Oryzias latipes: one gene and its partner. The protein of the gene in region 2 interacts with the protein of the main gene of each other region in a pairwise test. Links are inferred from orthologs where the notes say so. Each region holds a gene or a part of one and is shown on either strand. Other genes may lie near its edges. The genes, in order: washc1 and exoc8.

Region 1 (4,486 bases), on a different chromosome or scaffold from region 2:
GATCAAACGACAAAGAGAAGAAAGACTGTCAGGAAATGAAAATGCAGATGTCCGTGTGCGTGAGGATGAGAAGGTGAAATTTTGAATCGTTTCTCTTTCCGAAAAAATGATTCTGTGTAAGGAAAGAGGATGCCACGACAAGCTACTCCCTACTTCTCAGGTCGTTTCCCTCAATTCTTTGCTCTTCCTCTCTCTGCTGAGTGCTGCTGATGAGAAGAGGCAAATCCAGATGTGACAGGAGGGAGGGGAGCGCTTCTAGACGGATGCGTCATTACGCATTCAGGAGAAAAAGCAAGGACAAGGACGCACCCTATGGATACAAATCAGTACTGCATTCTGTTTTGTTTGAATTATTTTTCACTTAACTGGTTACACAAATGATCTAAAAATAGACTATTTTTTATTAGGATATTTTTTAAACAATCATATCAGGGGAATTACAACAAAACGAGGTTTCACTGTCATTTTCTAACGGACTGTTGTGTCTTGAAGGAGATCTGTCAACACTAAGCCCTGATGTCCCTTCATAGTTTTTCTTTATGCATAGTTTTTGTAAATTCCACACCAATCAGACTTATTAACTGAAGTGAATTTGGAGGTTCAATCTACAGTGTTAATGGTCATTAATGAATAAAGTGGGACATTTAATGGGGGATTAGTAACTTCTTTTTAAATTCACATTGGTTTCTTTGTTGTTTTTCATTTATTTTGTCGTTACAATTTACTTTTTATGTCAGAATATTTAATAAATATGCACTGCTAGATTATAGATACTTTATTAACTTTCCTTCTGCTTGCAGTTAAACTATTATGTCAAGGTTGTTTGATCTGAATATGGCTGATAATTTAAATAAAAAAAATAAGAAACACGTTAGCTAAAAGTTTCATCTTTGCACTAAAAATAGCTTTTAATCCATGGTTTGGTAAAGGTTTACTAATATAAACCAAAAATGTGTTAAAGTTAGCAGATGTAGAATAGAATAGAGAGAAAAGAATAGAATAATAGAAATCTAAATAAAACACAAAAAAAAGCAAGTAAAACTTCAAACTAGAAAAACCTCAAAGATTCTGCTCTCCGAAAAAAGTAATTTATGCATAAAGCCTTTGCTGGTGGCAAAGGCTTTATGCATAAAATGAATAAATAAAAAAATAAAATAATAAATAAATAAATAAATAAATAACAAAATAAATCAATAAATAAATACATAAATAAATGTAAGTTCGTCAGTTGCCTAAATATGTAATACACCTACACGAATTAGACATTTTTAAGCAATTTAGATTTTTTCTAAATACGTAATTCATGCTAAGCACTGTAAACGAGTAGACATACCCCCCCCCCACACACACACACACTTTTTTTAAACTACATTTTAAAAATTACAAAAAATTCTGGTATGACTATCTGCACTAGCTGCCTTTACTAAAATGTTAGTCTTGAGGGGGCAAAACTGAACCACTGTGCAAGATGAACTTTTAGTTAAAAAGTTTCCGACACACCGTGAATGCACCATTTAACGCAATGGCGTGGTCACGTGTTGCTCAGATGCGGAAGTGTAAACTGTTTTGCTAAATAAAAAGCTACAGCTATCACCGACAGTCTAGATTGTAATTATTCTTTTAATGAAACTCAACTGTAAATCAAACCAATGGTCAGGTAAGAGGCTAGGTTGTATGACGACGTGGTAATAACGGGTGATGTTCTCAGTTTTTGTGTCGCTCTTTTCCTAATCTAATAATTAGTTTATTTCTTTTTAGGATCATCATGTACTTGCAAATGGTGTTCACAAGGTTTCAGCTAGCCCTACAAAACACCCAAAAAAATAACGCGACGTGTTTGGCAATAAACGGTTGTTGCAACATCATTTCAGCGCCGCTGACTGTCATGTGAGAGTCAAATGAGGATTTATGAATTTTATTTTTTCTTTCAACGAGATGTTAAAAAAAGTCAAATTCCATTTTAGTCCTAAAAAGAATAAAGGCCGTTCACCTGGAACTAGTATAAAGGTTTTGTCCAGGTTATATTTAACATACATTTCTTTGTTAACTCAACTTTAATTGTTTTTATTTAAATTGTTAATATTTCTTTGTGCTAATAAGAGGCCTTAATGCATTCTTTCCTTTGTATCCTAAATTTTACTATTGAATATATAAAGTTAGTTGAAATAGAATAGAATAGAATAGTATAGAGCAACTAACAGTGCTATGGTGTTGCTGTTGTTTTGCAGGATGACACACAGACACTGCCTGGAAGCCCAGGTGTACTCGGTCCCTCTGGTGCAGCCGGACCTGAGGCGGGAAGAGGCTGTCAATCAGATCGCTGATGCACTTCTGTATCTAGAGGCAATTTCCACCGACATTTTTAGAAGGCAAGCCAAAAAACTAACTTAAAAAAAGGGGAAAATCTTTCAAAAGTATGTCAGTTTTGCATACTAATGGACACTAACTTCCCAAAAATTGGTTTTTAATTTCAAAAGTGACTCATTACCGTTACAATATTTGCTGCCACCAACATTGATAGTATTTATAAAAGCAGTACTGAGTGATAAAGCTCTTAAAAAAACAACAACTGTCTGTTGACCTGTTTATTTATTTTTTACCTTGGGTCAAGACATAACTTGAGTTAATGTTTTTGTTATATAATGTCCAAAACAACACATCAATTATTACAATGCATTTTTTTGTCTAACATAAATGGCTAAACCCTTTTAGCACTTAAACAATAATTGGTAAGGATTTCAAATAACTGCATAACCTTCATGCTGGTCCTGCTTGTAGGGTTTCAGAGAGCGTGGAGAAAAACCGCCACCAGCTGCAGAGCGTCTCTGACCGGATCCGACTCGCTCAAGCCAGGGTTGATAAGATTAAAGGCAGTAAGAAGGCCACCAAGGTAACAAAGCCTCATCTTTTTAGATGAAAACTTCTACATTGGAACCATGGTGTGTGACAATTGCAGAAGCAGGTCAAATTGTGTTGCAGGTCTTCTCCAGTGCCAAGTACCCGGCCCCAGAACAGCTCCAGGAATATACATCCATCTTTGCAGGGGCGGCAGACCCTTCCTCACAAAGCTGCTCCAGGCGCAGGATTCAGAGTAAACTTCGGCCTTTTGATGAGAAGGTTCTGCAGGTGAGATGAATGCACAAAAATGTAGATTTCGGTTCAGGTTTTGGCATCTTCTCCCATCATGTGACTGATAAATAGCATCTGCAGTTTCAAGTTACAAGCGTTGCATTGATTTTTGTGGTGCTGCATTCAGAGAAGCAGTCTAACTCACTTAAACTCCGCTGTATCCTGCTGGTTGGAGATTTCCCGTTGTGTTTTTCGCCAGCATGCTTCATGCTATCGTTGGCAAAGAGCAGATCTCACTGTCTCCAGCCGCTGCTGTAACTCTGGCATCTGGAGGGATGTGCGTTTAAGATAAGCCTGAGGGAGAATACCTAATGAGTTTTGAGTAACCATCAAAAGAATCAAAAGTCCTGGTTCCAAGAACGTCAAGTTGTCTTTCCCACATTGAACAAAGCCTGTTTCATCTTCAGGAAGACTTTAAATGCTCTCCATTCAGATACTTGAGGAGGCATTAGCCTCGTTTCCACTGAGCGGTACGACACGGTTTGGAATGGTTTATTCAATTCAGGTGAGTGTTTCCACTCAAAGTTGGACCGTCACGGTGCATTCTGGGTGTAGATTGCCTGCATTGCTTTGCGTCATAGTAGTACGACTACTGCAAAAGCGAAGCTATCAACAACAACAATGGAGTTCATCCAGCATATACAAAGAATTTAACGCTGTTTGACAAAAGATTCCGTTTGGAAACATTGGCGCTGGTTTGGCGCTCTCTTTTATCATAACGACCTTCTGCCAATCAACGAGTTTCTTCGTTTGATGATGGTAGCTCCGCCCTAACCGTTCTATTTCATTTCTGTATGGACCTACAACCCACGGGGTCCCAAAAATTACGGTTCTGTACGGTTTAATGGATCCGTTTTAAAATGGAAATGCTCAACGAGGCTTTAGTGTTCAGCGAGGTCCGTCAAATACTAACAATGTGCAAAATTGAATCAGAACGTAAAAAGAGAGATGTTGGAACCCAACAGGTGTGTACTTGCTTTTTTATAGCAAACAGAAGCTGGTAATAATTCCTACATTTACTTTCAACTTAACTCCTCGAGATTCTTGAATCCCTTTAAACCCTAAATCAGTCTTTTTTTTTTAAAACATTAATGGACACATTTTTTGTTTTTCAACTAGAACGAACTTGTTGATATTGAAAATTATCAGGATATAAAACCTATTTACACTTTAAGATCCACTAGTCTGTGAATGCAAATAAATCCAGCTTTCATTTTCATTGCTTCACTTATCCTCTGCTGCTAAAAATAATTAGGCTTTCTGAGAAAACCCATTCCTGATGTTTCAATATTACAATAACATTTATTGTTTGCCACTGGATGAAAACTTCAGTTATAGTATGAATTTTTTTTATTTT
Region 2 (4,392 bases):
ATTTTGTCTTTGGGAATGCTGCAGGCAACAGGTGGTAATGAATACTTATACAACATAAGGGAAAGGAAGGGTGAAGTAGGTGAGACGCAGCCATGTTCTACGTATTTTATAGTTTTCTTTACCCCCCCAAATCCTGCGCACGGTGCTGTTCAAGTGATAAGTGCGCACTCCTTCTGTGTAGCCTGACTGTTATGCTAACTCCACACTGGGCATGCATGGCGCTGAACGCGGGTTCTTGAACGCACTTTCAGCATACGTGCTCATACTGGACTGTCGCTACCCGATAGTAGCGCACAGTTATAAGATGCTTCCTGCGAAATGTTGAAGCGGTGCCAATCTTGCTCCAGGCTTTTTCTTTCACAGCTCTATTTTGATAAAGGAAGGCCTTGGTGTCATAGAATTTTGGCCGGGCACAAACCGCAATTAGTATTTCACCTCCAAGATTCAGTGTTTTGAAAAGGATGCTACTCATACCTCACTACCAAATCAGAGTCCTTGATTGGTCAAAGTACAACTAGTTAAACTTTCAGCACACGTTCGATTGCGTGTTTTGTACGTAGAGCCTGAAAACTGACCTAAAAACCTGCGTAGAGACGCGTCAACGAGAGAGCTTTGAACGCGGAGGCCCAAAACGGGCTTTTACGTGAGCACTTACATAGAATTTTCATTGAAAGTGGTCACTCAAACACGCATTTCCAAGCCTGGTGTTAACGTAGCATTAGAAATTTGATGATAATGGTGTAGTTTGTGTGAGTGTCCTGTCCTACGGACACTTACATGTCAGCATTTGCTTGGAGTCAGTAAGGAACCAGTACTCACTCATTAACCCTTGTGCTGTCTTAGATGACCCCACCCTTACATTGACATGTTCTCCCTACCATGACAAAGGTGGATAAAGGTGGAAAGATTTCATGTAATCCATGGACACCAGTGAAGATCACAAATCATTGAAGAAAAAAGGTTCAGCGAACTGTCTAGTGGGTCTAGATGACCCAACTCCCAATGTTAAAGTGCCTTGGATAGCACAAGGGTTAATAACGACTACAGTGTGGCAGTTTGGGCGGTGTTCGGCAACATCACCCGTATGTTATCAGTGCGTGTAACTTATGTTAGCCTTACAAATACTTCACAATATGCTTACCATACACAATGGTAGGTTCCATTTTCAAGGGAACTGCAAGACACACCTGTGCTCCTGTTAAGATGCGCCTTAAACTGGCCGGTCTACTTTCTACTCCCCTCCACAGACCTGGACAACCCAAAAACCCAGGGCACCTGTACAGGTCAGCCCCCGTACAGGTCCATGTGGCTAAAGCTTTAGTGACTCTGAATTGACCTTTAGGTGTGAATGTGTGAACTTGTTTGTCTCTGTGTGGCCCTGTGATGGAAGGCGAACTGTCCAGGGCGAACCCCGCCTTCACTGAAGAGTTGTTGGTTTAGCTCCAGTGACCCCATTACCCCAAACAGGAGTAAAGCAGGATTACACTGGTTGGTCCCTTAAAATGTTGACCTTCAAAACCTAAAATTAAATTAAAAGAAACTTTTTTTCAACATCACTTCCCCGCCTGACAGATCCAGAAGAGTGGGCTTTGAACACTTTTTTTTTTTTTTGCAAAACAAACGACATTGATGCTCCTAAATAAAAGTTTGAATTAAAAATGTTGCCTTTTTTTTGGCTTTAACGGACTAAAGAAAATGTTTTGGAAGTTAGTCAAACATCATCTCTTCTCTGTTTCTCTGGAAATTAAGAAAAGAACCAAACCAGGACCTAGTCTGATGAGCTGGGACACGGCACGTCGGGTCGCTTTAGGTCCACCACGGAGTGACCGATCCGGAGACAGCTCGAACACCAGCACCTCAGTCAGCTGTCGCACCCGCTCGTCCACCTTGGACCTCAACTCCTTGACCTTCTGAGTGGAGGGCTGGTCCTTCAGGTACTCGTTCAGTTTGTCCAGCAGGTCCACGGCTCCCTCAAAGTCCCTCTGGGCAATGCACACGTCCAGGTCCTCGGGGAGCTCCTGAATCCACTCGATACCAAGTTCTGCGCTTTCCTCTGCATCTGCTGGGTCCTCGTCCTCCAGGTCGAAAGGGTTGGTGGACACCTCAGATCTGATGGGGGACGTGGGAGCCTCCTCTTCCTTCTTGTGTCTGTCCTTAGACACCTTGTTCTTTTTGGTTTCATCAAGGATCTCCAGCCACTCCTTCTTGACCTTGCTGTTCTCTGCCTGGAAGATGCGGCTGTCCGGGAACATGAGGATCTTGAACATGTCCTTCATGGGGGGATTGTCCTTGACGTTGACCACGGCGAAGCTCTCCAGGTCGTACAGGTCGCTGTATTTGTACTTCACGGTGCCTCTGCGGTTGGGCAGCCAGGTGGCGATCAGCAGACAGTCGTTCATGAGGAAAGCATGGACCTTCTGGATGGGGGACATGTTGTCCACGTCAAACTCAAAAAGGTCTCCGTTGTAGACTAGGTGCCTCCCCGGGATGTCCATGATGTTCTTGGCTCCTTCGACTTTCTCCAGCAGAGAGGTGAGCGCCCTCTGCTTCACCTCCTCCGTCTCTTTGGGGAAAGCAGCCTGCATCTCCTTGGAGGTCTCATCCTTGTCTGTGGACAGCAAGGCCTGGGTGATGCTCTCCATGATGCTCTTCTGCTCCGTCAGGATGTGGCTCAGCTGGTACATCTCGCTCTCCAGGTAGGAAATCTCTTTGGCGGTTTCAATGAACTGCCTGTAGTTCTTATAGACATTTTTCTTCAAATTCTGGGCCGTTTCGTCGGCCAGGTTTTGGATTTTTTGCCGATGCTCCTGCAGATCCCTGTCGCCGTCGGACTGCTGTGACAGCTGTTTGACGTACGTTTGCGGATCGAAATTGGGAGATTCGAGAAGTTTCCGCAGCCGGTTCCCTGTTTCCGACATCTTTAGCTGTGTTTGCAATTATTTACGAACGCGAAATATTAGTAAAATGGCTATGAAATGTACGAACAAGACGAGTGCATCGAAGCTCCTTTTACATCCGCTTTCACTCCAACAGGAAGCTGTAAGCAGCAACACCCGAACGTCACGTGATCAGAAAAAGTTTAAAAATAAAATCGTAAAAAAATTATTTGATTATCTTTAGGCATAAGATAATATAAATTTTTGATTATGATTCGTAAACTTTATTCAATTGTAACAATTGAATAATTTAATTTAAATATCAGATATATGTTTACTAAAGTTCCCAGAACCCATCGCTAATATTTGTGCTAGCGATGCTTGCAATCTTTACCGGAAGTGGTAACCAAAGCATACAAAATAATTACATTGAATTATAAAAAAAAGATCACCGTCAAAGCTACCCAAATTAAACTATTGAATTTTTCTTTTTACTATATATATTGATATACTGAGCATAAAAAAGTGCCCATGTTATATATATATCACAGTGTTTTAGTTTAGACAATTAATTTTAAAACATATCATTATAATAGACAAAAATGATTAAGTAACCATATTTGGGACCAAAACGCCTTTAATAACTCATTTTTTTAATTTGAAAAACAATCACGTACGGGACTTCGCGGAACTTGACAGCAGGTTAGACCAAAAGACAGAGTAAAATTGCATTGATGCAAAAACAATTTCCTTAAAAGCTACGCGGCTTTCAATTTCAATTAATAATATACTAAGAAAACACATACGTGCCTACGTTTAGATATTCAAAATACTTTGAACAAAAACTTTAATATGTTTTATTGTGAAAAAAATAAAATAAAACATTACCGGAAGGTTTGTGGAAGATGACAGGAAGTTGTTGGCTCCAGCTTCTTACTCTTTTTTATTAAATTGTTTCCGTTTTTATGTTTAAGCGTCCGTTTTGCGAAAAAATGATGACATAAATTCGTTTTTTTCTTTATGAGTTTACACTGCTAAATGTAGTACAACTGGCGCACTGATTGGTTTTTAGAAGTTCGGGTTAGCCAAAGCTAAATGGCAAAATAGCAGCAGTGATGGACGAGGACTTTCTGCTCGCCGTTCAGCTACAGGAGCAGTTTGACCATGAATATGAATCTTCACTGGTTTCATCTCTAAGTTTTAACGAAGGGGAGTTCGGAAACAACAGCAAAAAGCGGAAAGTGGAGCTTGCCGGTGGGGCCAGGGATAGAAAGCCAACTTCCGGCGTTGAGCGGCCGCTAAGCATCGTGGATGATTCCTGGGAGATGCTGGATCCCAGCCCTGATGTTAGAGCCATGTTTTTGGAGTTCAATGACATGTTCTTCTGGGGCAAACTCAGCGGAGTGGAGGTCAAGTGGAGTCCCAGGATGACCCTGTGAGTCTATTCTGACTTTGGACATTTGGTTTAAGCTGTTTCGGAGCCTAAACTGACCTCACCGATTTAGATCAAAACTAA

The links.
Region 1: the proteins of exoc8 (region 2) and washc1 interact in binary tests that used the Homo sapiens proteins (3 or more experiments, as listed by UniProt). The link is inferred for Oryzias latipes from reciprocal best matches to the Homo sapiens genes EXOC8 and WASHC1.

The regions. Positions count from the first base shown.
Region 1 is NC_019864.2:19,195,932-19,200,417, forward strand, and holds the start of washc1 (WASH complex subunit 1), read left to right. Parts: upstream 1-1,518; 5' UTR 1,519-1,649; coding exon 1,650-1,657; intron 1,658-2,228; coding exon 2,229-2,369; intron 2,370-2,778; coding exon 2,779-2,890; intron 2,891-2,979; coding exon 2,980-3,126; intron 3,127-4,486. UniProt on the Homo sapiens protein: Acts as a component of the WASH core complex that functions as a nucleation-promoting factor (NPF) at the surface of endosomes, where it recruits and activates the Arp2/3 complex to induce actin polymerization, playing a key role in the fission of tubules that serve as transport intermediates during endosome sorting.
Region 2 is NC_019882.2:17,525,345-17,529,736, forward strand, and holds the start of exoc8 (exocyst complex component 8), read right to left. Parts: upstream 3,046-4,392; 5' UTR 2,919-3,045; coding exon 1,769-2,918; intron 1-1,768. Other genes in the region: sprtn (sprT-like domain-containing protein Spartan), read left to right, coding at 3,992-4,311. UniProt on the Homo sapiens protein: Component of the exocyst complex involved in the docking of exocytic vesicles with fusion sites on the plasma membrane.